Xenopus tropicalis: one gene and its partners. The main gene of each other region encodes a partner of the protein of the gene in region 2 in a complex. Links are inferred from orthologs where the notes say so. Each region holds a gene or a part of one and is shown on either strand. Other genes may lie near its edges. The genes, in order: med25, med4, med18, med13l, med16, med26 and med19.

Region 1 (2,798 bases), on a different chromosome or scaffold from region 2:
TTTTACAGACAAGAAAGAAAAAGCACTAAGTTTGGCCAGGCACAGTAACCCATAGCAACCAATATGATGTTTGCCTTTAACAGGTAACCAGTAAATTCTGCCCGCTGATTGGTTGCTATAGGTTACTGCTCATGGGCAAACGTAGCACCTTTTGTAACATAACCCCCATTGCCACTATTGTGAGGAAACAGCTGTGGAACATGTGGCATTTACTCATGGGGGATTCTCTCCCTCTCCCTGGATGATGCATTTTTATATATATTTTGGAAACCTGGCATATCTATATGCAATATGAATTGACTGAACTGCAACTAACCTCATAATTTCATAGCATAGAAAACTGACGGAGTACATATCTTTATGCACTACGTACTTACTGAACTGTAACAAACTACACAGTGGATAAATTGTGCCTCATTAACGGGAACTTCATTAACAAGGACACAACACAGGTGGGAATCACTATTTATTATTAATATTATTATTATAATAATAATAATAATAAATAGTGATTCCCGCCTATTTTTATAAATTCAGTGGTGGTGTTGTCTCAAGTTGTCTCTTCCGGACCAAAAATGTGTTAAAGAGCCCCACACAACACAGAAATCCCTAAAATACCGGTCACTTTAATCTGGTCCTTCAAACAGTATGAATAAATACCATTTTATTTGCTGAAATCCAGCTGCAAAACAGTTCTTCTCTTTCTACATTTTTAATTGATGAATTATATTTACTTTTCAAAAAGCTTAAGTTGTGTTTGGGTGGAGTTCCCCTTTAAGAGATAGCCAGTACATTTTGGAAGGCAGATATGGGATTACTAAGGGGCACATTTACTAATCCACGAATCCGAATCTTGAATGGGAAAAAATCACATTGGAAACGAAAATTTCAGAAGATCGCAAATATCACGAAAATGCTTACGAAAAAATCGTATTAGTCACGATAACATCGTATTGGCGATCCGAAAGTCACGAAATTTTCGTACCGAACAATTGCAAACAGCGGTAAAACCTTTCCCTATTTTTTCGTGCGCCGTACAAAAAAGTCGTGCGGACGCCCGAAAAAATCCCGAAAACACGCTCGGAGCATTCGTGCTTTTGTAAATGTGCCCCTAAGTGTTGTATCTAGGTAGAAGAATAAAACTGGCTCATATAATATAATATATATTTATTTTTATTTCTTCCTACCATATAATATCAACATTAGGAGGGGCCTGTCACTCAGGAGTAGGGGGCATGGTTTTAGCCTTAGGATGAGGTTCCAGGAGCTACACATAAAGATTCAGTACGGTATCCTTAATATCCTAAGCAGATCAGCCATTTGAATTTTCAGCCTGTCACACTGTGGCTCAACAGTGCCTGTTCTTGGGAATGTAGTAGTTTCACTCACCCCCATAGCCCAACATCAACAATGCTGGACATTCTATGATTAGTCTTCTCTATATAGCAGTGGAATTTAAAAGGAGCAACTTAAATCAGTCACTTCCCCAGCTAAGCTTACAATTTACATTTCCACACCATTCTGTCCAATTGCCAGTTATGGTAAATGCTTTACTATCTGGAAGAGCTATAGGGGGAAAATATTCCCATCTGGTTTCCTGGATACTTACAGGCTGCTGGCTCAGGAGGAGGTTGCGTAGCTGTGGGTTGGCACCAGGGTTTTGTGGTCGGAGCATCGCTCCTGGCTGTGGGTTCTGAGGCTGGCCAGGTGCTTGAACGGTGGTTTGTGTGGCTTGTGGTGGTGCCTGAGAGGCTGCTTGCTGTGGTTGCTGTACTCTGATGTGTAACTGGAAGAAAGCAGCATAGTCATCCTTGTGTTATTGTCAAGCAATCATCACTAATATAAATGATCACTCATTTAGTCCCATTCCCCCCACCCCCCTCAACAAGATTTGAACATCAGCTCATAGCCGGAGCGGAGTCTGACGCTACTGCTCTAAAGTGTTCTTCCACCCATGCACGGCAACAGTAACGTTGTGTTATACTACAACTCTCAGCAGCGCATAGACATGTGATGGCTCAGGCACCATCATGGAACATGTAGTCCTTTAGGGCTGCAGACTGACCATCTGTTTATCAGAGAAAACGTATCTGGTTCTCCTCCAGATGTTAAAAGGATTTTCTACTCAGAAACTTTATTATATTTTCAGAAAGGAAAAAAAAAAAGGTTACTCCCCCCTTGACATGAGTTCATCGAAGTTGGGTTTATGGATAAAATGTGTAGTATAAAAAAAAAAAAACACTATCTGAACTTCCAGAAATATAAAATAAGGAGACCATTATAGTCCCCACCCCTTGTGCTCACAGCGAAATTCAACCCCTCCCTTATCTTGTTCCATTGTGAAGTGATGGATTCTGGTACTTGAAGTCCCCCCCCGCTTTGGTGGGTAGTGCACAGATTATATTTATTTCTGAAAGTTCAGACATTATTTAAGCATTTTCCTACATAAGGCCAACACGAATGAGCTCAGGTCAAAAAGGAGGGTATAGTTTCCCTTTAAACAATTTTTAAAATGGATGAATATTTAAGAAAATAAAATATTCTGTGAGCTATTTGGTATTTGGCTGAATCCAGGCATTTTTATCTGCTGCATCCATAGAAAGTAAAATAACAGATTATCTCAAGAAAAAGAAAAACTCACCAAATTCTGTGTTCTCTGTTGCTCATCCATCATAGTGACTTGGCTAATGGAGGGCATGCCCGGGGCTACCTGCTGGCCTTGCATCTGGAGAAATGAGCAGATTGTATCATTCTCTCTTCTACAACCATGTTATCCCCATATATAAGAAGTAACACCA
Region 2 (4,040 bases):
TTATGCACATTTTTTACATAACCCAACTAAATGACTTCATGTCCAAAATAGGGGAAGAAACCAGGGGTAAACCTGCCAGTTTCCAGTCATAAAAAGACCCCAAATATAAGAGGATCTAACAGCCAGACAAAATATTTGACTTCCAAAATTGTGGTTTCCTGTGTCAAATGATAGCTTAAAGAAGAATGAAAGTTAAAAATCACTGGGGGTGCCAAATGTTAAGCAGCACCCAGTGATGATAATCACTTGCCTGATACCATGGGCTGGTGCTCCTGTGTGTGAAAAACTGTTCTGGCCTGAGGTCTGATATCTGTAGGAGCACCACATCATCATCTTCCATTTCTTCGTCCTTCTTGTTGGCCCCTGGCCAGTGCACATGCACAGTACAGTGACAAGCTGTTTTGTTGTTTCACTGAGCTTTTCACTCTGCCATGTATGCGCACCCAAACCAGGGCTCAAGAGAAGTATGAAGCAAAATAAGGTGGCAACAAATAAGCTCCTACAGAAGAACCCCAGGCCTCAGGTAAGCAATTACTACTGCAACAGCTAAGCTGCTCATGCATGCTCTCATCCTATCCCGACTTGACTACTGTAACCTGCTACTAACCACCTCCCTAACTCCCATCTTTCCCCCTATAGTCTATATCAGTGATCCCCAACCAGTGGCTCAGGGGCAACATGTTGCTCACCAACCTCTTGGATGTTGCTCTCAGTGCCCCCAAAGCAGGTAGTTATTTTTTTTAATTGTGTTGCTCTCCAAGTCTTTTTACATTTGACTGTGGCTCACGAGTAAGAAAGGTTGGGTCTGGTCTATATTAAAGGAAAACGAAAGGCAAAATCACTTGGGGGTGCCAAAATGTAAGGCACCCCCAAGTGACTTTAACTGCTTACCTCGTACCCCGGGCTGGTGCCCCTGTTAGAAGAAAACAGCACCAGCCCGGGGTACCTGGAGCGGATCGCTTCCTTCTTCCTGCTTCCGTTGCTGAAATGCCAGCGGTGGGCGCATGCGCAGTAGAGTGAAAAGCCGACTTTAATGTTTAAGTTCAGCTTTTCACTCTACTGCGCATGCGCGCGCAGCGAATCAGGAAGAAGGAAGCGCCGGCAGCTACCCCGGGCTGGTGCTGTTCCCTCCTCACAGGGGCACCAGCCCGGGGTAAAAGGTAGGTGGTCAAAGTCACTTGGGAGTGCCTAACATTTTGGTGACTTTGACTTTCTTTTTCCTTTAAATACTGCTGCCAGAATTCTCCTCCTCTCATCCAGGAGAGTTCAGGCCCTTCCCCTGCTAAAGTCCTTATCGTGGCTTCCTATTAAACAAAGAATATCTTACAAACTCCTTCTCTTAACCCTCAATTCCTCTGCTCCTTACTACATCTCTTCTCTTGTGTCTCCCTACGTTCCTGGCCGACTCCTTCATTGCTCGCAGAGCAACCGCTTTGTTGCACCCCCCACTACTACTGCAGTTTCCTGCCTTAAACCTTTCTGCCTTGCTGCTCCTTACATTTGGAATGCCCTCCCTGATTTCCTCGGGAGAGAATCCTCCCCCAGTCTTTTCAAAGATAAATTTAAAGACTACCTCTTGGAGCACTCACCCAGCACCTGATCTGGGAACTAGCACTTATATTGTCACCCACTGTAACCTACAGCACTTATAGTTAAAAATACCCTCCTATATAGATAGTAAGCTCTACGGGGCAGGGACCTCCATACTTTTGTGTCTTTGGCTCTTAACTTATTGCAACTGTATCTTGTATTTATTTGTATATATTGTTATCCTTTGAATTTCTGTTATTATCTTAATAACCCCGTTTGTATTAATGTAAATAAAGATATACATACATACATTATAATAACATCAGGGTGCCTACAATTTTGGCACCCCCGGTGAATATACTTTTACTTCTCCTTTAAAAGAGTTCAATAGCCAAGTATAAAATGTAGTTGCCCTGAAGAGCCACACTCCCCCTTCCTGTACCACATCAATGAACTCTTCTAATACAGCCCTGTCTGCTTTTCCAAAAACACAGAGTAGCGCAGTGGAGCTAGTGTACACCAAACTGCTGTGTAGCTTACCATACAATGACAGAATTGCAACATGAGTCAATGTATTTTTTATAAAGTGTCATTTTTCCTTGTGGTGCATTACAGTGTATCCCATGTTTCCCACAATGACTGATATAACGCTGAAGCAATAGCAACAGGTCTTACTTTGCCATTTGACTAAAGGAAAGGGGGGTTTGAAGAAGGCAATTCCTCAGCACCTTGAGGAGCAAGGGGCTCTAATAAAACAGTCGGAAACCAGGGGTGGTGCCACCCTAAAAGAAACCTGAAGGAAGATCAGACAAGTATTCATGCGCCAAACCACATCCATATGTATCACTGTGCGCCACTGCTATTCCCCATGGGATGGCCTGTCCCCACCCACCGTTATACATCAACCGGGGCCCTTTACAGATATTATTCTGGCCCACTGTGCAGTAAGAACAGCAGGAAGGACAAACCCCAACTTACAGGGCTTTTAGGTGGCCAGATAATAGGGCAACGCTCTGTAAGCGCACAGCGCTATTATAACAAAGAATCCCGCACAGTGGAATTCCGAACTTCATTGCTCGTAAGGTGCCAAGCATTTGGCTCTGCAGCTGCTGGAAAGCCACGCAAGAAACAATATTGGCTCCAAAGTATTAGGTGCAGTCCCGAGAAATAAAATGCCCGTGTCGCATAACGCCCTCACCTAGACAGCACTTCCAAGTCGTCCAGGAAAGACATCAGCCTTTCCTTCGTGCTCTTCTCCGGAACAGCCATGTCTGCGGATGGAAGAGAGGCGGGGCTAACGAGCAGTTCCGGGAAGGAATCAAGAGAAACAAGTATCTGTCGAAAAGCGCAGACGTTTTTCACAGCGCCATCTAGAGTAATTTAATGGAACTTAGCGATCCTACTCACATAACTAGCAAATGCCAGTTGGGCAGTGATGTAGATGTCGGCTGCGGCAAATTCACTGAACTGGGGCCTATGGGTGGAGGCTGGAGAACCCCCCCCCCTCACCTGGTGATGAGCTTTCAGTCATATTCACATTGGTGCCATTCACAAACCTACTCATGGTCCTCAGCCAAACAAACGGCCATGATCACAGCATTTGGCCAAAGCATGTCTAGACATGGTGGCAGGACATATTGGGACACTCACATTTCTTGTTTTCCAGCATTTCATGGATGGCACAGTGCGGTCCCCTTAACAAACAAAAGTACTATTTAATGCACTGGTAAACAAAACGTGAGCATTTCTTCCATGAGATTCAGGAGAATACAAATTCACACATTTGTCTCTTAGGGGAACTGAGACTGGCAGCTTAAAGGGCAATTTCACCCTTTTCACCAAAATGTCTCTGAACACCTCAGAATTCATTTGTCTGCTTCTGTCCTGTTTCACATCATCAATAAACACTAGTGTCCCAGTGCCACCGACAGACGTGCACGCCCAAGCCATCACACTGCCTCCACCTTGTTTTACATATGATGAGGTATGCTTTGGATAATGAGCTGTTCCACGCCTTCTCCATACTTTTTTATTGCCATCATTCTGGTATAATTTGATCTTGGTTTCATCTGTCCAAAGAATGTTTTTTCAGAACTGTGCTTTTTTAGATGTTCTTTAGCAAAATCCAATCTAGCCTTTCTATTCTTGAGGCTTAGGAGAGGCATGCACCTGCAGTGCACCCTCTGTATTCACTTTCATGCAGTCTTCTCTTTATGGCAGACTTGGATATCGATACACCTACCCCCTGGAGAGTGTTGTTCACCTGGTTGGATGTTGTGAAGGGGTTTCTCTTCACCCTGGAAATGATTCTACGGTCATCCACCACTGTTGTTTTCTGTGGACGTCCAGGTCTTTTTGTCCAGGTCTTTTTTTCACCAATGGTTGCGTTCTTTCTCAGGATGTACCAAACTGTAGATTTTGCCACTCCTAATATTGTAACAATTTCTCGGATGGGTTTTTTCTGTTTTCGCAGCTTAAGGATGGATTCTTTCACTGGCACGGAGAGCTCC
Region 3 (3,976 bases), about 57 Mb from region 2:
TTGAATGGCTGCTCCCATGGCTACACAGCAGCTTATTTATATAAACTATAGGAGCGTTCTGTAGCAAATACACCGGTTTTACCAGCGCAGGGCAACAGTACATTACATTTCAATTACTTTAAAACACTTTCATATTTTGGTGTTACTGTTCCTTTAAGCAACAAACTCCTTGCAGTACACATATTAGAAGCAGCAAGGCTTCTTTTAGCTCAAAAATGGAAAACCGATCTTATTCCCTCAATGCTGGAACTAAAAAACTTTATCAACCTCTCACAAACCCTTGAATATCACAATGCAATGGGACTCATGGAAGAACTTTACTGAGGCTGATATCCAGGAATTATAGCTAATAATTTATATTATTTGCTCTTCATATTTTTTTTTCTTTCTTCTTTCTCCTTTCTCTTTCCCCTGTTCTCTTCCTTTTCTTTCTTCCTACTTCACTTCCTTCTCTCTCTATGCTCTCTCTTCCTGTGATTCACGTACAGACACATTCAGTATTTGAGATACATATAGATATAATGCAAATCTTGAGAGTTAAACTTTTAGATGCAAAAAAATTGTCAATTAAAAAAGAAAAAAATTAAGGAATACAACCAATAACCAATACAAGAGGTAAAACAGGGTCCTGCTCAAAAGAGTTTACTGTAAAGTCATAGGATTTTATCAGTGCATGTCAAGGCACCAGTGGTTACCACTGGTGCCTTTCAGCACAGATGCCATGAGTTTGATTTTTATCTAGGCACTATCTAACAGGAATATCTATGCATGTCTGCATGTTTTTATTTTTCTCGAAAAACATACAGATAAACCAAATTTTAATTTAATCAAACCTTTGTTGTGTGAAGTTGATTGAGACTAGTGTTGCACAGACCAGCCTAAAATGTCTGGACCCAATGGCTGGGCATGATCGGGCTGGTGCAACACTTTTCTTGTTCTAGTCCTGACTCTACCCATGTACCACCCTGTGATGTCAGCATGTTGCAGCACTCCACTAGCTGGCTACCATCCTATTTATATCTTTATTCTGCCAAACCCCTCCACTCCAGTGATGCCAGGCATGTGTGGGTAAGGCATCACTAATTACGACCCTATAATAGCAGCTCCAATGGTGAGCAGAGGCTTTTGTAAATGACTAATAATTAGTGCTTCATCAGGTTGGCATTATATAAACATAATAAACAGAAAATAAATGAACTGCAGGACTGGCATTACTTGGGGCTAAAAAGAAATGGAATGATATGCCGAGACAGAAGGCTATTTTCTGTAAACGTGACCAAATACTATTTACATTTTTTGATAGCTATAAAATTATATACAGAACACCAGGATCTTCTGCATAGCTGTATGCGTGTGTCACACTTGGGGGTAAGGGCGGGGCACCAGGGCTTGTGCCGGCTGAGGCAGGGAAGACCGGGCCGTGACGTGACCAAATGCTATTTACATTTTTTGACAGCTATAAAATTATATACAGTGACTACTAGAACCATGTTTTCGTATACCTTGCTAAACAAACAGGGGCCTAAACAGACTTTTTGGTTAGAGGGGACAAACTAATACCATTAATACAGTAACAGTACAGTTTGTTAGGCTGTTCTTACCTTGCAGTAAGTACTCCATCATGTTAATAGTTCCTCCAGATACAGGCATTGTTGTGACTGGGGGAGCCTCCATTGCAAAATGTTAGTTCTCTAAATAAACAAAACAAATATATTATACACAATATTCATATGTTTACAATTGTAGTCAAGACAAGGCTGAATCTCCACTAATACTGCACTGCTTATGTTCTACTAGAACCCCCCTCCAGCCTGAACTTGTCCTGAATAAAAACAGAAACAATTGCATTCACTTTGCCAGTACAATGCTTCAGATTATTTTCCTACTTTCCTAGGTATGGTTTAATTTAGGGGTGCACCTAATTCAGGATTTGGTGAAGATTCTGCCTTTTTCAGCAGGGTTCAGCCAAATCCAAGCTTCAGGCCAAACTATATCCAAATCCTTAAAATCAGGTTACTTTTGCCTAATCTTTCACAAAGAGTTCAACCCCGGTGATTCATCCTTTCCTTCTCCTTTAACAATACCTGACATAGCACTATGTGCACAAGCCTCACATAGACATAAATGGGGGTCATCCCACTTTTAGATCTGTTAAGTAGAGTACTACCAGGCTAGCAAAATGTTGTTTTATTCCTGGGATGTTGCTCCCAGTGGCCTCAAAGGTGTTTATTTTTGAATTCCTGGCTTGGAGGCAAGTTATGGTTAAAAAAACAGGTGCACTGCCAAACAGAGCCTCAAATTAGCCAGTCCACATAGGGCCTACCAAATAGCCAATCACAGCCCATATTTGGCACCCCATGAACATTCACATGCGTGTGTTCCTCCCTAACTCTTTTTACCTTTCTATGTGGTTCATGCATAATAAGGTTTGGGGATCCCAACGTTATTCCAAAGTTATTAAGCAGGAAGTAAAACAAAGACTGTAAGGCCAGTCATTTCCTACTGAAAAGACAGCAATCCTAGGTGTTTTGTGTGTACATTTTTATGTAATAACTGTATATGCAGAGCTGTGTTTTCTTTTTACAATTCATTAACAATAAAGACACAGAGGTACAAACACGGCAGCTGATAAATACATACACTTACTAAAACAAAGTGCCCGACAAAATTTTGTAAATAAGTGAATGGAACCGGGATGCGACGGGATCAATTACTTCATTTAGAGCACAGCCAGCAAGCTCAAGCAGCTAATAAGTTAAGTTCCGGTGCCTAAGTGCACGGCTAACCCGCCATAAAACAACTCTCCCTCAAGTCCTCAGGAGGCTGGCTCCAGAACACCAGGAGCTTTTGCATTTGCGTACTGCGTGCGTGTGACGCACTTGGGGTGAGGGCGGGGCACCAGGGTGCCTGCTGAGGCACGGAAGACTGGGCCGTGACGTAGCACGCTTGTATGTGCCGTAAAGGAGAGGACGCTCGAAATAGAAGGTATTAACGCAGTCGTGGGGGGAGGGGGGTATTTTGCCCCTTATTTCGTAGGAAGCCAATACGATCTGCCAAAACCAAAAATTCCCCTACTGGTGGGTGATTAGATTACTGAAAATTCAGGACCACGTCTAATAAATACATGTTGCAGGGCAGCACTGATTGCATTTAAAATCAATACAGCCCTGCTAGCTGGATTTTTTAGACATGTCCCTAAATTTAAAGTAATCGGGCCACCCTACTACTGGCAACCATATATCTTAGTACAAATCATAGATCTTTACTTGCTCTTAAACCTGTCTTGGCGCAATTACAAATATGTGATAACATTGGTTAATGCTAGCACTGGTGGCTTAATTTTGACTCAATTATAACTTGCAAAAAATATGCAAGTCTGTCCACTTCTTGCTCAGAACAGATGACAATGGTAAAGCTTGAATACTGATTTTTGTCTCTTCAGGACCTGCCCTGTTTGACTCGGACAGCTCACTTTTTGGGAGGACTGTTTGGGGCAAAACTCCCTGCCCAGTTTTTCAAATTAGGGAAACAGGGCAAGACTCTCTTAGACTGACAGTTGCCAGTGGCCGATCACCCGTCATAACCCCACCCCTGACTTGATTGACCATGCCTCCATCACTCACCTGATTTATTGAGAAATTCCACCAAAACCATACTAGTCCCGCCCATCAGTTCCACTTCCTGCTGGCTGAATTCTCTGGATGAGCTGGGGAGCCGGCGGCCCTCCGTACACTACACTGTAGGATAGGAACCAATCAGCAGCTAGGCTGACCTGATAGGGAACTGAAGCCTGTCTTTGCTTGTGTGAGTGCAGGGTTGTGATTGGCTCTCCCCCTCCTACTGTGCTTCTGGAAGGGACCATTAGGACACGCCCACTCTTCATTTCACACTGGACGGAGAAGTGATACAATCTATAGGGAGCTCCAATAAAGGGGCCATTTTTACAGATAGGATTAATTTTTAGCACAAAGTGAAA
Region 4 (3,500 bases), on a different chromosome or scaffold from region 2:
TACAAGGATGCTAAACATTTATGGTAGACCCCCAAGTGAATTCAGTCAGTAAGTTTTTTCCCCAGGCTAGTGCTCTTTTTAGGAAAAATAAGAGAAGCACCAGCCCAGGGAAAAAAGTAGCAAAGCTCCACCATTTTACTTGCTATTCCCAGGTGTCCCTGGCACAAACTTAGACTCATGCATGAGCAGTAGAGTACAATACGAACAGTTTTACTCGACACATCTGCGTGTCTATGTCTGCTGACAGTTGCCTGGGAAAATAGTAAAATGTCGACAAAGTTGCCGTACAATATGGGTGCCACTGTATACAGATCTTTTAAATAATAATCATTTCTTTGCCACCACCCCCCTATATTATAAGTGTCACTGCAAGCAAGCGCGATTCAAGTCTTGAGAAAAGTCTTATAAAAGCTCTATGTGAAAAGCACATAAAGGTTATGGTAACACACATAAAAAACAAACAATGTTTACCTGAAGTATGCAAGCTGATCGAAGTGGCTCTGGTAAACTCTCCAGCATGTCAGTAAAACATCTGATCAGGCCAAGCATCCAGTAGTTCCCAGGGTGGCAGTCTTCATCCACTGTGTATGTAAATGGATCCACCATGTATATAACTACTGTTGGACAAGAACTGAGTGCTCCAGCTGGTTCTGGTTCTGTGGGAATGCCAATTTTCTCCCGCTCAGTGGCACTGTTAATGTAAAAGAGACAATACAAGCTGTATATTATATGTTTAAAAATCCTTCTAAATTAAACAAAGCAAAATATCCTTTGAATCATAAAAATATTTGACAGGATTTTACTAATATTATTATTAAAAAAGTCTATTTACAGTGCATATAAAAGAAAAAATAAGCAATACAAAAATACTAAAAACGAATACATGTATGTATGTATAACTTTATTTATAAAGACCCAAAAGGGTACGCAGCGCTGTACAATCTTACAATACACAGAATTACACAGAAGGAGGACAAGTGATATAATAAATAAATACAATAAATATATAAATGCACAGGGAATAAGTGCCATGTGGTATGAGACACAGTAGGAAGGAGGTACCTGCCCCGTAGAGCTTACAATCTAAGTGGTTGGGTAACATACAAGCACAAATTGGAAGGTAAGAGTGCACCAGGTATGGGCATTTTCCCTTAAGCGCAGGACTAGGCAAAATGTTTTAGTGCTCCAGAAGGTAACAGCTGAGCTTTTTCTTAAAGAGAGTGGGTGAGAGTTCCCTATGGAGGGATTCAGGGATAGAGTTCCAGAGGTAAGGAGCAGCAAGACAGAAAGGTTTAAGACGAGAGAGCGCAGTGGGTGTGAATGGTGTAAAAAGACGGAGGCTCTGAGAGGAGCGGAGGTGACGACCAGGAACATGCAGGGAGACCAGTGAAGAAATGTAGCGAGGAGCAAAGGAGTGAAGGGCTTTGAATGTTAGGATTTTGTAAGCAATCCTTTGCTTAACAGGCAGCCATGCAAGAGAGCTTAAGTGAGGCTGAACAGGTTCCCTCTTTGGAGAGAGCAGAAGGATCCTGGCAGCAGAGTTTAAGATTGATTGCAGGGGAGAGAGGTGGGAGTCTGGGAGGCAAGTTAGTAGGAGATTGCAGTAATCTAAGCGGGAAAGGATAAGGGCAATTTCTGCTGAAACATGCTACTGTCTTTGGAGTCATGTGGGATACTGCATAGAAAGCCTTAAAAGCTTTTTGCTGCTACTGCTAATCAGGCCCAAAGTGAAGACACATAAACATGCATATATATGTCAGCAATAATTTAGTGATGCCTAATGTGTATGAATCTCTAGGTACAGGAGTGAATTGTCTGACTTACTGACTGCAGTGGAAATGTCAGTGTTCTCTCACCCAGTTTCAAAAGTACATTTTTACAGTTCTTACAAAGCTTCTTTTTTTGTTTTCCATATCCCCTTCTAAGAACTGACTACCAGGTTTTTCATATAACTGCTGTTGTGTTGGGCAAGAAGTCAAATATTTAATTTCATTTTAATACAGCATCTGTACTTACTTTTCTGGGGTCTCTTGCTGCATGGACTGCTGGCTAGGCTCTGGGTCTCCTGTGGTCTGGTTTCCTAATGGTCGCTCCACAATACTTGAAGTGTTCTGTGATGGGCAGTTATTGAACCCAGTGGGTACTGTGCTGTTTCCAGCAGGAAGAGATGTGGAGGAGGATAGAGGTGGTGGTGGTAAAGGAGTAGTACTTGTGCCATTAGGAGTGGTGTTAAAAAGAACACCAGTAGGACAAGACGGCACAGCTGGGCTTGAGCTGGTTTGTACCGTAGGTGGCTGGTTCTTAGGAGGTAATAACAGGCTGCTGTCTAGTTGCAATGTGGATAAGTAAGGAGCTAAAACAGAAAAAGACAATGGGCATTAGCAAAACTTACACATCCATGTCATAACATCAATGTAAGGTTCCAGCTAATCCCTTTTGTACAGCGCATATAATAAACAGCAATTGTGACTTTTTATTTTCCTCTCGTGTTTATTAAAAGAGTTATAGTAACTACAAATTACAACTATGGGATCTATTATTCAGAAACCCATTATCCAAAACGCTGAAAAAGAAGCAATGAATTTGCCCACAGTACTTTATTTTAACAAACTACAAACGGTCCACTTTTGCTTAATGTGCTAGTTCACAATAGTATAACAAATGGCATAATGTTAAGGAGTCAGCCCACCGACAAAAATTTTTTTTACATTATCACATGGTGGAGTGAGAGTGGTTCACACCTTTAGTCAAACTCAACCCCCTTTCCCCTCCATCACCTGCTGATGGTGAGCGGCAAAAGGTCAGAAATATCCTTTCTAAATATTAGAGAAAAAAGGTGATCGGTATTCTGTGGCATTATATTAACAAACACATATACTGTTACAAGGTGCAGGTATGGGATCAGAGTTATCTGGAAACCTGTTATTCAGAAAGCTCAGATTTACGGGAAGGCAGTCTCCCATAGACTCCATTTTAAGCAAATAGTTAAAAATTTTTAATGTACAGTACCTTGTACTTGATAGCGACTAATTATTAATCCATATTGGTGGGTTTAAATAATGTTTAAATTATTTTTTTAGTACAAATCTAAGTTACAGAAAGACCCCTTATGCTGAAAACCCCAGGTCCCAAGCATTCTGGATAACCGGTCCCAAAACTGTAATTGTATTTGAATCACCTCACAAGTGCTTGTCAGGTTTTTGTTGCCTATATATAACATGGCACTCAAATTGCCTGAAACCAGCCTCTGCCCCACACCTCTAAAAAAAAATAAATAACCTGGACCATTATTAAAACAAAGATCAAGCTGGTTTTTACAGCCCCACACCTCTAAAAAAATAAATAACCTGGACCATTATTAAAACAAAGATCAAGCTGGTTTTTACAGTGGGTTGGAAAACAGCGAGAGAACCTCACAAACTGTTTTATCAAAAAAATAAAGAATAATGGACAAAAACTAAATCTGGTGCAGTATGCAGATGGGAAGTTATCTGGCTCAC
Region 5 (4,168 bases), on a different chromosome or scaffold from region 2:
ACACTGTAACTAAACCACTGACTGTGACTGCAATCCAACCCTCCATTGGCTTTCCACCAAACAAAGTAAGAGATGGGGAAAACTTCACGCGTGAGAACTTTTCTCCAAAACTGGAAACACCAGACTGCAGGAGAAAAAAGATCAGTATTAAGGGTGGTAAATGCCTACTTAAAGGGAAATAATGGTTAGGGGACAAAAGAAATAATGGTCTCTGCTTAACAACAAAAAGGATAAGCAAAGTGAAGTGAAGTGAAAGAAAAGAGCATACAAACAACTAAATATAAATACTAATGTAAATATTCATTGTTATCTCACCCACCTTCTCAACATGGAGAGCAAGTTTGACTCCATTGTGCAACCAAGACAGAGCTACTATGGGATCTCCATCCACTTCGCTGCCTACAAGACTCTGCCAGCTGTTTGCTAAGTGATCAGTCATTCCCCAGCATTTGATTCGACCATCTGCATCAGCTGAGAGCAGGCGGGAACCTAAAAATACCAATAAAACCAAAGCAACAGTTACAAACACTACTGTCTATGTCCCTTCAAGGATTCATTTTCTGCTTCCCACATTTATCTTGTTTCTTCATATTTCCCTTTGCTCTCTGCCCTTCCCTTTTAAGTTATATGGTTTTCTTGTTTATTATCAAAAAGCCCAGCAATTTGTTTTACTGTACCAGATTGGTCCCACTCCAAGCTGGTAATAACTTCCTGGTGCCCAGAGTTAATAGAGTAGACATCCCACGGATGTTCTGTGTCGAGGATATGGATCAAATTAGTGATATCTGAGAAGAAAAAAAATCAAGTTATTTCAGATTTATCCATATTCCTGTAAAAACACTTTTTAATTTATCAAAACCCTGGAAAACAAACAATCTGGTGAGAATTATGCAATGTTGCAACTCTCCATGGTCAAATTATACTTGCTTTAACGAATAAGAATATATTCAATGAGAGCATAAAATATATACTTAAATTTGTGCATTGTAAAACGCCTGATTTTGAGTACAGTTGAACTTTTTAGAAAGATAATAGAAGACAGATGAACTCTTTGCACTTCAATGTAAATTTCATAAGGTAAATGAATGGGGGTGGGAAGGAGGGCTAACTACAGCCAATTGTTTAGCATTTTTTCAGTAACAAGCACTTTTCTTACAGCTCACACGACCCAACTATTGTGAGAGAATACACACTTCTTCACTTAACATTCTAGTAGGCAGCTCTGGACTGAGATTTAAAATAGGCCCTAGCATTTTCAGCACACAAAAGCTCAAATAGCCCCCAACTAGCGCTCTACTACACAGTCACTGTCTATGGCATCTTTCAGCAGTCCCTCTGGCATTTGCCAGAACCCACAGACTGGCAGTCTGAGCCTGCTGGCAGGGATTATTTACTAAGGGGGGGTAAGGTGCAGAATTTTTTTTCCCCACAATACAAAGTGGCACAGAATGACATTAAATAAAAAGTAGAATTTATTGCAGTAACACATTCCTGGGTCTGAATTTGTGCACCTAGGTCTCAAGCTGCCACGCTTCCACTACAAGCAATACTTTCTATTTTTATATTGGTGCAAGGCATTGTGTCTCAACCCTTTCTCCTTGTAGATTGTAAGCTCTTTTGGGCAGGGCCCTCTTCACCTCTTGTATCGGTTATTGATTGCTTTATATGTTACTCTGTATGTCCAATGTATGTAACCCACTTATTGTACATCGCTGCAGAATATGTTGGCGCTTTATAAATAAATGTTAATGTAATGTAAAAGGCATTGCCTAACCGTAATGTGTATGCCTATAGATTCAGATGCTTTAATTTTTTATCTGCGTCTATGCATCTATCTGCATTCTATGCATTCTAGTGACCCAAATACCCTTAATATACTAACCTAGTTCATTTTAAACATGGTAATATAAAAATGTAATCCAAGCAATCCAAGCTCTTTGGTAAGACCAGCTTTGGACTGGGAACCCAGGGACCCACAAGAAAACCTTAGACCCACTTTCCAAATTATTTGTCCTCCTTCCCCACCCAACCACTTTATTCTCCAAGTCTCTTTTATTTACATAGCATCTATTCTTCCATCTAATTCTTGACTTTCTTCCCATTCAGAAATAGGGAATGACCATGAAACAGGCCAAATGATCAGGAGCAGGAGACTGACACCTGGGCCCACCATGAGTTCTCCTGGTATCCAGTCCAACACTGGGTAAGACTCATTTTGGTTTGTCTTTTAATTGTTTTATGCATTATAGATAGAGAGAGAAAAGTAGACATATAACAGTTACTAAATAATAGAAATACACACACATATAATCACACTCACAGAGCGGTGCTGTAATAACAAAAAGATGTTACCTTTCTCCTCCTCATTGCGCTGATCTGTAGTGAAAGCAATAAGATTGCGGCAAGACCAAGCGCAAACTAGTGGGATTGATGGGCAGTGACTGGTCCGTGGTCTTTTGTCCCACTCACATACGTACCCCACATCCATGCTGACAGCAAACACGCACCTACTAACTATGGGAGAAGGGCTACAGATCGGGGGAACAGAAACACAATGGCTTACATTGGGAATGGACTGACTGACTGCAGCTATAAGAAACGAAGGCGGACGACAAGAAGCGTCAAAAAGCGAAAATATGCTAGAACCTTGCGTAGGGGATTTGCTACTAAACTGCTCTGGTTACTGCTGGTTCCAGAATCCCGTAGGATAACAAGGTTCTACGTAAAACCAGTAATGAAAGTTCCCGGCTACATTAGTGCGTCTCACGGAATAAGCGTCTCAATGTCGCTTTCCGATGGCGTCATCCTTAGATTAGCATGCCGACCTCTCCCGGCGTGCATCGTGGCAAATGCCTAAATTGCAGCTATAAATTCAATCTTTCTCTTCTGTTTTTCATGTACCCAGTAAATAAAACAATATCAAGTAATATTTATTGCTGCTCGGTGTAAATATACATATAGACATACAAAATTGTCACTCCAATATAACCGAATCAAAAGCTAGGGGCTTTAAATAAGAACCGGCGCTAAGGTATGTTTGTGCTCGCTTCGGCAGCACATATACTAAAATTGGAACGATACAGAGAAGATTAGCATGGCCCCTGCGCAAGGATGACACGCAAATTCGTGAAGCGTTCCATATTTTGCACTTATCTTATCAAATGGATATTGGAGTGAAAAACAAACCATGTATATTTATATATATATATATGTATTTAGTTTGTTTTTCACTCCAGATGAAGGCTTCTGTGTGAGACCCAATCGTTGAGTAATAAACCTTTCTATTTTTACATTTACATTTTGCTCACACTTTACTTTGGAAATAAATGTAATTTGGGACTATTTTAATTTAATATATATATATTCTCCACTCATCTAATAAAAAATGTGTATTTGTGAACAGTGTGTGTGTTTGTGTATATATATATATATATATATATATATAGATTTACACACACACAGGATTATGATTTAAAAACTAAAAATCTTTAGTTCCCCCCTTTATTATGCTGTGAAGATGGTTTCTTCCTACAGTCAGTGGTGTAACTATAGAGGAAGCAGACACCATGGTTGGGGGGGGGGCACCAGGGGCAGCCTGGACCATAGGGTCTGGTTCCTCTATAGCAGGGGTGGGCAAACTATGGCCCGCTGTCTCCGGCCCCCTTAAAAGAATGACGGGCCCTGATTGGTTGCGCCCCATGCATGCGCATAGCGTCAGCACACACGGGGCGCAACCATATAAAAGAATGCACTGGGGAGCCGGGGAACAGAAGGACGGGACGGAGGAAGCAGCGGGTCGCTGGCGGAGGGAGCCGCAGGTCATGAAGGATGCTGGGGGGGAGCTGAGAGGCCCCATAATTTTTGATGGCAGCCCCGGGCGTAACGCTGTCCCGGCCCGGTCCGGCCCGTCTGTTAGTCAATGTGGCCCCTGACCCAAAAAGTTTGCCCACCCCTGCTCTATAGTCACTCTCATTGATAAAGTTAAGGGTGCCCGCTGCTTAATATTTGCCAGGGTGGTGGCCAGGTACCTGTGTGCGCCAGACCCCTCCAAAAAATGATTGTGGAAATGTGAAATATGGCAAAATCAGGGAATGTAAAAGTGAGATTTCACTGTGTCTCATCCCACTTGTTGTGGGATGAGATACACAGTGTATCTACAAAGAAGTCA
Region 6 (4,256 bases), on a different chromosome or scaffold from region 2:
GCTCCTAAACTAAAAATGTAATAACTAAAGAACTACAAATAAAAAAAAAAAATTAAGACCAATTGCAAATTGTCTCAGAATATCACTCTACATCATATTAAAAGTTAACTTAACTGTGAAAAACCCCTTTAAGAAACAGCATAAAAGCATAACCCATACCATAGGTATGAACAGGTCACCTAGGTGCCTCATAAGCTATAAGGAAAAAAAAAAGTAAGCCATAAGCAATGCCTCTATACAGAAAAAAATCCAAACACAAAACAGCATGCTTGTTCTCAAAAAGCATGAACAAGTAACATCTCATCTTTCAGTTATTCTATGGGTTTAAAATAAAAAAAAAAAACAAAAAAAACTCTTAACTGTGACAGTTTATAATAATTTTATGGTGTAGTGTACAGTGTCTTTCGGATTAACAGATTCTTCATTTAGAACCCGTTATTCTAAAACATGTTGTGCACTACACAATAACATCATATGAGATTCATAAGGAGTTCTCCAGTGAAAATGCAAAAACATTAAAAGGGTCAAAGTAGCAACCAGGGTTAAAAATTGCTGAACAATTCTGCAGGCTAACAAACTGATTACAATAGGGCTACTACTATACCTAAAGCCAAAGGTGTAGCGATTTACTGATTTTTTTCCCGAACACTCCCAAAAGTGGTTACTGAAAGAAAGGAACAACACTTACAAGTACCTTCCTCTAATGCATCTATCAAAGAGCCCTAGCTCTGTACTGCTCAGCACCTTTAGTTGTTATTTTTCACACCTGTGTAATACAGCGCAATAAATATTTAACTATTTGTGAGATATTAAAAAATTACAAATCAATTCTAATATAAAGCATACCCAACCTAAACAATATATGCTTTTCTGGAAACCAGGATCCTTTATCACAGTTGCCTAAATCTATTTTTACATGTGCTTTTGTTTACCTACAGCTTAAAAATTCCCATGCAGACACAGGCCTTTCAAAAGTACAGCTACCAAATACAGACTTTCAGAAGGTATGTGTCAGCATTAAAGACACAAATTAATTCAGTATGTACATACCCATGTGTCCCTCACCCCAAAATAACTTTGAGATGCTTCTGGCATTAAAAGGTCCAAATCCTTTCTAAATGTACAAGCTGTATATCTCCAGTGATACAGGAAATACACATGTATTTAAAGCTATAACTGAAAGTAGGTTTTCAGCAATAGATTATTATCAATTTAATAGTAGTGTTCACTCTTTATAGTAAAGGCTTCAGTAAAAAAAACCCTCAAACTTCAGAAGTTGTTTACAAAGAGATTATGCTTTATAGATACATGTTAATAATGGTTACAAATCTTATCCTGCAATGTACTTCAAACTTTTGCTACATAAGTGCTTTGCAGAATTAAACTCTATAGGTGCCGACGCATCCTGCCAATGCTAAAATAAGTATCAAGAGAAGATAGAAAGTGCAGTAGATTATATACTGTAAACAACAGTGAAAGCTTTTACAAATTTGAGACATACCAATAAATTGTATTGCTGACTGCAAATTACTTGGCCTTCTAATTTGTGGGAGTTGTTACACCTCAAATATAACAGCACATACAACAACAGGTCTGTATATAATGCAGTTATAAATGCCATACACTTCAGTCAAAGATAAATCGGTCACATAAGGACCCATGACAAATCTCTAAATGAAATACAATAAATAGCATTCTGAACTTTCCCTGTTCTGTTTCTTTGAGAACAGATCTCTCAGTTTAACAAGCACACCGCCTGCCCACACCAGAGTAATGCCAACAACATGAGATAAATGCACCCTGTCCCCACAAGCACACATCTGCACTGCCAGGAACATAAGAATATGCCAAAGGAGTGTGTTTTGGCAGTCCCACCGACTCGGGCATCGCAAGCCTAGCCAGCAGTCTGACATGTGCCGGTGCCTACAAGGGCAGTCTGCTAACTTAAGGCCGCGACTAGGCCCTATCCCCGACCTCGCCTACAAAGTAAGGACGGATGTGCTCGAATATACAGAGTCGGATTAAGAACGCGAGATGGCCTAAAACAAGCGCCAGGGGTCCCTGCTACAAAGGACTGCAACCCCAGATAAACGCCGGGACCCATAATCCTCCATTCCCCAGTTGCCCACTTCCTGCTCAGCTCTCAGGCTTTATACTCGTCTCTCACCTACCCACAGAGAAGGGGCTCTCAACTAGCTGTTCCTATCGAGCTCTGCCTTACCTATAGCACTCCACTGTGGGCTTCTCAGCTCCCGGCATGGTCAGTGCCACTGCCTCCACCACCCTAAGGCTCTTGCACGTTCTGGCTCCAGGGGACTCGGTCTTTCCCAGCCTCATGTGACCCTCAACTAATAACCTGGAGCCAAAAAGTGCATTCCAGAGTAACGACACCTCTCTTTTCCCCAGCCCTTAGCCACCAACCACCCATAATCAAGGGATAGTGTCACAGCAGCCTCCAGTCACTCTCCGTCAGCCCTTTCCCGGTCGTCCCTAGTCTAGCTTCTCACTGCTGGTTCAGAGGGTTTCATCAAGTGCCGAAACCCCGTGTTGCGCTCTTTCCACTCCCTGTCCCCCCTGACTCACGTTGCTTTGCGTATCGATGGCCTGCAGCAGCCTCTCCCTGATCTCCCGCGGGGTTACCGGAGCGGCTGTCATGGCCTCAGTCCGGGGATCACTGCGGAGGGCGGCGCGGCATGTTCCCTGGGAGGAAGGAACACGAGTTCCCGGGCGCAGGGAGAGCAGCGAAGAAGCGAGAAAGCCGGAGACTCCCAGACGCGTCTCTCCCGATGGAGTCGAGCGACCGGGAGTCCCGAGGCACGCCGGGAAGTCCGCCGCTGCACGCTTTGTGACGTGACGGTAGCGGCGTCCTGGCGTCACAGTCCCCCTAGGTAGCACGTACGTCACGCACGAACGTCTCTCATCTTCCCCCTCAGTAGGAAGTGTCAGACACGACTTAAAGCTGTCATTCGTCTTCGGTATCCATGGAGAGAGGGGGCAGCCCGTGCGCCTGCTAGCCTTTAGGCACCTGAGTTGTTACTAGGCAAGATGCATCACTTAAAATAAACACTGTTGTCTACCCTGCAACTTTTGTGCAGTAGACTATAAGCCTAGCTGGAAGGAGGGGCTTATTTAACTACATCACCTCAGTCAGCGACACTGAAACAGAGCGACCCGTGGGTCGTTATGAACTACTATGGAACTCTTTGTGGAATTCTGGGAGTTGTAGTTCATAAGTCATACGAGTAAGTTTGCAGGAAAAAGAATCGAACGTTTGTTTAGAAAAGTTAGCTAGAAGTGCTACACATATTGCCATATATTCAAGTGAAATCAGGTTACACTTATTTCAGCCCTGCAACCTGCATATGTTAGAATTGTCTGGGTTTTGTTTTATTTAGTTTGTCTTGTAACCTTATCTCAGAGACAAAGGTTAGATTCAGAAAATATGGAGAGGCAGACGTTCTACGTAGCCCTCTAAAACATATTCATTACCAGTTTTTTCATTCTCTACTGAGTTCCAAACTGTCTCTGGAACCTATATCAGTACAAGAAATATTAGTAGCTGCACACAAGCTAAATATCACCATGTAGAGTGCCATGCATTGCCAGTTGTTGTGTAAAGCTGTATAACACTGGACAGCAGGGAGCTGGAAATGGGTTCTCTGAAATGATGAATCATCTTCACATATGGCAGTCAAGCAGTCATTTCTGGGGTGGTGGGTTCCAGACAACTTAGTTTGGTGTAGGACTAGTGATCAGGGGATAATTATTGTTTTGGGTTAGTATTCTTGGTTTCAACAAGGAGACATTAGCGCTATAGTGTACAATGGTATTCGTGGATATCGTTGATGCACAGGTGGTCAAAATAAAATTGGTAAGCTTCCCATCTGCATAAAACTTGGTTTTTGTGTTTGGGTCTTAAAAACTTATTGATGTATGAATATTGAAAAAATGCAATATATTAAGGTAGAACTCACCAACAGTTTCTTGAGGTCCGGGTGCTCAAGCCCCAGACCTTCAGCTCAGGGGAAGTGATAGACACACTTGGATTTCAAATAAGGCTGGCATAAGACTGGACTGTTGAAGCAGATGGTGATGCAGTTAAAATGATGAATTTATGTAGTAACAAGACCTCTCAAAAGGACACGTCTTACACGTTTGGTGCCTTATGGGGCACTTAATCATAGGCTAATGATTAAGTGCCCCATAAGGTACAAAATGCATACGGCTTGTCCTTTTGAGAGGTCTTGTTACTAAAT
Region 7 (4,002 bases), on a different chromosome or scaffold from region 2:
CCAAACGATCGAATTAAAATGGCAGAAAAGTCTGTCCGGGGACCGCATCAACAAGCCAATGCGGTCCCCGATCCAACTAGATTTTCTAACCTGCCCGATCGAGATCTGCCCGATTTCAGGCCAGATATCGGCCGGGCAGGCCCATTGGGAGTGCCCATACATGGCCCGATTAGCTGCCGAATCGCTCCAAGGGACCGATATCGGCAGCTACCTTAAGAAAGGTTGGGGACCCCTGCTCAAGATTCACAAAACGCTTCCTTTATTCTTGTGCGTTTACTGTCACAGTATTCCTTTCTTGGCCTTATAATTTACAGCCTACAGCTACTACAATGCATACCTCTCTGCAAACAACAGAAACTTAACTGTGGTGCACAGAGATGATGAAGGTGAGGGGACCTAAGATTCAGGATATGTGGAAAGGCCTAAATCAGGGGTGGCCAGACTTTTTGACTGGGGAATGCGTAAGTGCGTACATACGCATTCACGCAGCACTTCCGCATCTCTGGCTTTGTCGCAGTCCACCAGAAATCCAGGGGGGATCGACCGGTGGACCGCAATCGACATATTGGCAACCCCTGGCCTAAATGAACGCTGGGATGACAAGTGCTACAGAAGAGACACACCTACTTTCAGATTCTGAAAATGCCTGGTTTGAAAAACAATTAGAAATGAGAAATAAGTGTTTTACATTAAAAATTAATGCAGTTTGGTACAGGTGATTTTGTATTTATTTGAATTATAACAGTGAGAAAGATGGAAGGGTTTATAGCTCATGACAGTTCTCTTTTAAGTGTTATGGGGGGCATTATACATGAACTTGGTATTGCACTTATATACAGGTAGGGGATTCCTTATCCGGAAATTTCCAATTACATAAAGGCCATCTCCCATAGACTCCATTATAAGCAATTTGTTTTTAAATTATTTCCTTTTTCTCTGTAATAATAAAACAGTACTTGTACTTGATCCCAACTAAGTTAGAATTAATCCTTATTGGAGGCAAAACAATCCTATTGGGTTTATTCAATATTAAAGGATTTTTAGCAGACTTAAGTTATGGAGATCCAAATTACAAAAAGATCCCTTATCCAGACAACACCAGGTCTCAAGCATTCTGGATAACAGGTCCCATGAAGGAAGCACTGCATTTAGTTATTGCTTTGTGTATTAGCAGGCAATAAAACCAGAGTTTGTTTGCGGTCAAAGTGTATTATAACAGTGGGTGTGGCTTATAATTCTGGGCAGTAGTGATGTATGGGCCGGCCCAATACCTGCGGGTCAGCCGGGTTCAAGCTGACCTAGGCACATAATCTGCGGGTTCGGGCCGAGCTTTTCCGCTCGCAACCTTACACTGCCAGCAGCTCTCTTCAGGCTTCTCTATTTATAGGCGCGCTCCCAGAAGGCCTGCCTCTTTTGTGACATCATTGTGGGGCAGGCACGGGTCTCTAAATAGAGCAGGGGTCGGGAACCTTTTTGGCTGAGAGAGCCATAAACACCACATATTTTAAAATGTAATTCTGTGAGAGCCATACAATATGTTTGGCCGCGGATCCTGTGGGTCAAGGTAAGGTGGGTCCCAAGGATGCCTGATGCGGATCCGATGCAGAGGAGGGCGTGGCCTGCGCTCGGTGGATAGAAGACGTGTTCTAAGGTTTAGAACACGTCTTCTATCCACCGAGCACAGTCCACGCCCCCCATTATTTTTTTTATTAAAGATTTGGCAGCGAGCCAGATGCAGCCATCAAAAGAGCCACATCTGGCTCCCGAGCCATAGGTTCCCTACCCCTGAAATAGAGGAAGGAAGCTGGGTCTGGCTCCACTTTTTTCCACTTTAATTTAAGCACTTAATGTAAGTTCAAGTCATCATATTTGACACCAAATACACATATTTAGAAAAAGAAAGACAAATAATAATAAGTTTACCACACAAAAGGTGTAGTAATAAGCAACTCTTTGAGATGGTTTTTGAATCACATTGGATAACGCTAGCAGAAAAGGGCAGGATCCAAATGAAATGGCAGGTAAAAAACCCAGTGGACCCAGCCAACCCAGAAACAATGCACTGGCGCTCCCCCAATTGGCACTCCCTGGGGTGCCAGTTTGAGTGCCAACCCAATAGGTCTGGCACAGCCCAGTCCGATGTTGGAAAAGGGTATCTACAAAAATGCTATTAATAATTAAAATGTTTCCTCTTCTAATGACTAAATGTAAATCCCTTGTAGATGCTTAAAATAGACTGACATACAAAAAAAAAGAAGATTCAAGATTCTTAGTAAAATCGTGTTGCGTTTACCAGCCCAGACATGGATTTAGCCATCAGAAGGCAAAACAACATGTCAGCAAGACCACAGACACCATTCTCCTGATGCTCCAGCAAGACAAGGCCCAGCGGTTCAGATTTTGCCACATAGCAGACATTTAGCACACGTTTAGTACGGGTCCTATGCACCCATGCTTGTTAACACTCACCTGGAAGTTCACCAAGAATATAGAAGGGCCCCGCTGCAGGTCTTCGGGAGCTATCCTCTCCAGAAGAACTAGAAGAAAGTGGCGGAGGGATCGGCAGCGGAGGACCAGGTACTGTTGGAGTTGAAGTCTGTGTCTTTCCTGACACAAACGCACCAGTACATGTTGGAACAACAGAGGGGGGCCCTGGAGCAGAAGGGATAGATGAGGGCTCAGAAGCTGCAAATAGACCAGAAAATCCCTCCATTACTTTGCAACTGAAACCAACCACATCAGCCCTTCTACTATTCAACCAATGAACCTAAACCTTATGTTAAGCCCCTCCTAAACGTTTAAGCGTCATTGAAGAGACGAATATGAACGTCACTTCCACATACCAGCCTATCGCATGTGCTGTTTGTGCTTGCTTGCTATCAATTGGTTAAACGCCTGACACTACTCCTTCTGGATTAGCTGTTGTCTATTTCCGGATTTACGTCCTACTGTGCTGATCTTTATTGGCTGTTTTTTTGTTGGGTTGGACCTCACTCTTTTTAGCAGTTCGATATAGTTAATGTAATTGGATGAGTCTCCTTCCCAGATAATCAGCGTTACTTGTGGCAATGGCTGTGCTTGCACCCCTTCTCGCGTTTTTATATGCAGTTCCTGGGCTTTTGCGCTGGGTATCGCAGCCCTATTACCTTCTTTCTGCGTTATTGTCTGTATCTTTTCTTCTGGTTAGAAAGGTACCCCCGGTGTGTAGCGTCTTACCAACACAGCGTGAGGACGGAAATCCATGCGACTTTGATTGGGTATGTACTTTCAAGGTGACTCTTACATTGAATGGTTTAATGCATCGAAAACTGTTATATCATGAATTTCCATGTTTCTTCAGATTTGTTCTATTATAATTATCATGCCTGAAATGCTGAGAATGATGGCTTTTTATTAGTGGTATTTTACGTACATTCTGATTGAAAAGTGATTTATTGCTGAATTTTGATGTATTTGGTTTGTACATTTAAGGGTCAGATATGATTGATCTACTTAATTGTTTGATAGGCCGAAAAAGCTGATAAAACCTTACGTAAGTGTTTCGTTTTTCATCCTTTGAACTCTGCGTATAGTCCTCTAAAATGTATTTAATTAGGACCCTGAGATGTAGAGGCGGACAAGCATAATGGCTGAGGTTATAGCCCCTAACTGGATGACTGTTTATGGCTAACATTTGAAAGCCTAGTATAACACTAGTAAACACTTTTTTTTTTTTTTTTTTACCAATAATAAGTTAATCTCCATGCAGTATGGTTTGCAGGTTAATAAATCTATGTTTCAAGTAGGGGCTGATACCTCATTGCAGGGTCATAGATAAAGACATATATATCTTGTATTTATTTACAAATGCACAATAGAAACACTTGGCATGGATCAATTCTTCGCCTTCCTGTTAATAGAACGTGCACATTGAGTACCTAATGGACCCCTACTACCCGGAGCAAACCTGCAATCTCTGATCAGGAGATTATTAAACTACAGGGGTCGAGGGGTGTTGGGGTC

What was found.
Region 1: med4 (region 2) and med25 share a complex: the UniProt entries of both Homo sapiens proteins name them as parts of the mediator complex. The link is inferred for Xenopus tropicalis from reciprocal best matches to the Homo sapiens genes MED4 and MED25.
Region 3: med4 (region 2) and med18 share a complex: the UniProt entries of both Homo sapiens proteins name them as parts of the mediator complex. The link is inferred for Xenopus tropicalis from reciprocal best matches to the Homo sapiens genes MED4 and MED18.
Region 4: med4 (region 2) and med13l share a complex: the UniProt entries of both Homo sapiens proteins name them as parts of the mediator complex. The link is inferred for Xenopus tropicalis from reciprocal best matches to the Homo sapiens genes MED4 and MED13L.
Region 5: med4 (region 2) and med16 share a complex: the UniProt entries of both Homo sapiens proteins name them as parts of the mediator complex. The link is inferred for Xenopus tropicalis from reciprocal best matches to the Homo sapiens genes MED4 and MED16.
Region 6: med4 (region 2) and med26 share a complex: the UniProt entries of both Homo sapiens proteins name them as parts of the mediator complex. The link is inferred for Xenopus tropicalis from reciprocal best matches to the Homo sapiens genes MED4 and MED26.
Region 7: med4 (region 2) and med19 share a complex: the UniProt entries of both Homo sapiens proteins name them as parts of the mediator complex. The link is inferred for Xenopus tropicalis from reciprocal best matches to the Homo sapiens genes MED4 and MED19.

The regions. Positions count from the first base shown.
Region 1 is NC_030683.2:117,444,694-117,447,491, forward strand, and holds part of med25 (mediator of RNA polymerase II transcription subunit 25), read right to left. Parts: intron 2,726-2,798; coding exon 2,642-2,725; intron 1,787-2,641; coding exon 1,610-1,786; intron 1-1,609. UniProt on the Homo sapiens protein: Component of the Mediator complex, a coactivator involved in the regulated transcription of nearly all RNA polymerase II-dependent genes.
Region 2 is NC_030678.2:134,878,375-134,882,414, forward strand, and holds the start of med4 (mediator of RNA polymerase II transcription subunit 4), read right to left. Parts: upstream 2,801-4,040; 5' UTR 2,800-2,800; coding exon 2,729-2,799; intron 2,659-2,728; exon of another isoform or gene 2,625-2,658; coding exon of another isoform or gene 2,509-2,624; intron 1-2,508. UniProt on the Homo sapiens protein: Component of the Mediator complex, a coactivator involved in the regulated transcription of nearly all RNA polymerase II-dependent genes.
Region 3 is NC_030678.2:78,266,575-78,270,550, reverse strand, and holds the start of med18 (mediator of RNA polymerase II transcription subunit 18), read right to left. Parts: upstream 2,801-3,976; 5' UTR 2,647-2,800; exon of another isoform or gene 2,641-2,646; intron 1,692-2,640; 5' UTR 1,675-1,691; coding exon 1,602-1,674; intron 1-1,601. UniProt on the Homo sapiens protein: Component of the Mediator complex, a coactivator involved in the regulated transcription of nearly all RNA polymerase II-dependent genes.
Region 4 is NC_030677.2:145,408,500-145,411,999, reverse strand, and holds part of med13l (mediator of RNA polymerase II transcription subunit 13-like), read right to left. Parts: intron 2,354-3,500; coding exon 2,017-2,353; intron 692-2,016; coding exon 472-691; intron 1-471. UniProt on the Homo sapiens protein: Component of the Mediator complex, a coactivator involved in the regulated transcription of nearly all RNA polymerase II-dependent genes.
Region 5 is NC_030677.2:100,791,866-100,796,033, reverse strand, and holds the start of med16 (mediator of RNA polymerase II transcription subunit 16), read right to left. Parts: upstream 2,801-4,168; 5' UTR 2,489-2,800; coding exon 2,353-2,488; intron 786-2,352; coding exon 678-785; intron 490-677; coding exon 320-489; intron 125-319; coding exon 1-124. UniProt on the Homo sapiens protein: Component of the Mediator complex, a coactivator involved in the regulated transcription of nearly all RNA polymerase II-dependent genes.
Region 6 is NC_030677.2:112,239,084-112,243,339, reverse strand, and holds the start of med26 (mediator of RNA polymerase II transcription subunit 26), read right to left. Parts: upstream 2,801-4,256; 5' UTR 2,656-2,800; coding exon 2,584-2,655; intron 1-2,583. UniProt on the Homo sapiens protein: Component of the Mediator complex, a coactivator involved in the regulated transcription of nearly all RNA polymerase II-dependent genes.
Region 7 is NC_030683.2:55,853,112-55,857,113, reverse strand, and holds the start of med19 (mediator of RNA polymerase II transcription subunit 19), read right to left. Parts: upstream 2,801-4,002; 5' UTR 2,714-2,800; coding exon 2,470-2,713; intron 1-2,469. Other genes in the region: tmx2 (thioredoxin-related transmembrane protein 2 precursor), read left to right, coding at 3,069-3,257. UniProt on the Homo sapiens protein: Component of the Mediator complex, a coactivator involved in the regulated transcription of nearly all RNA polymerase II-dependent genes.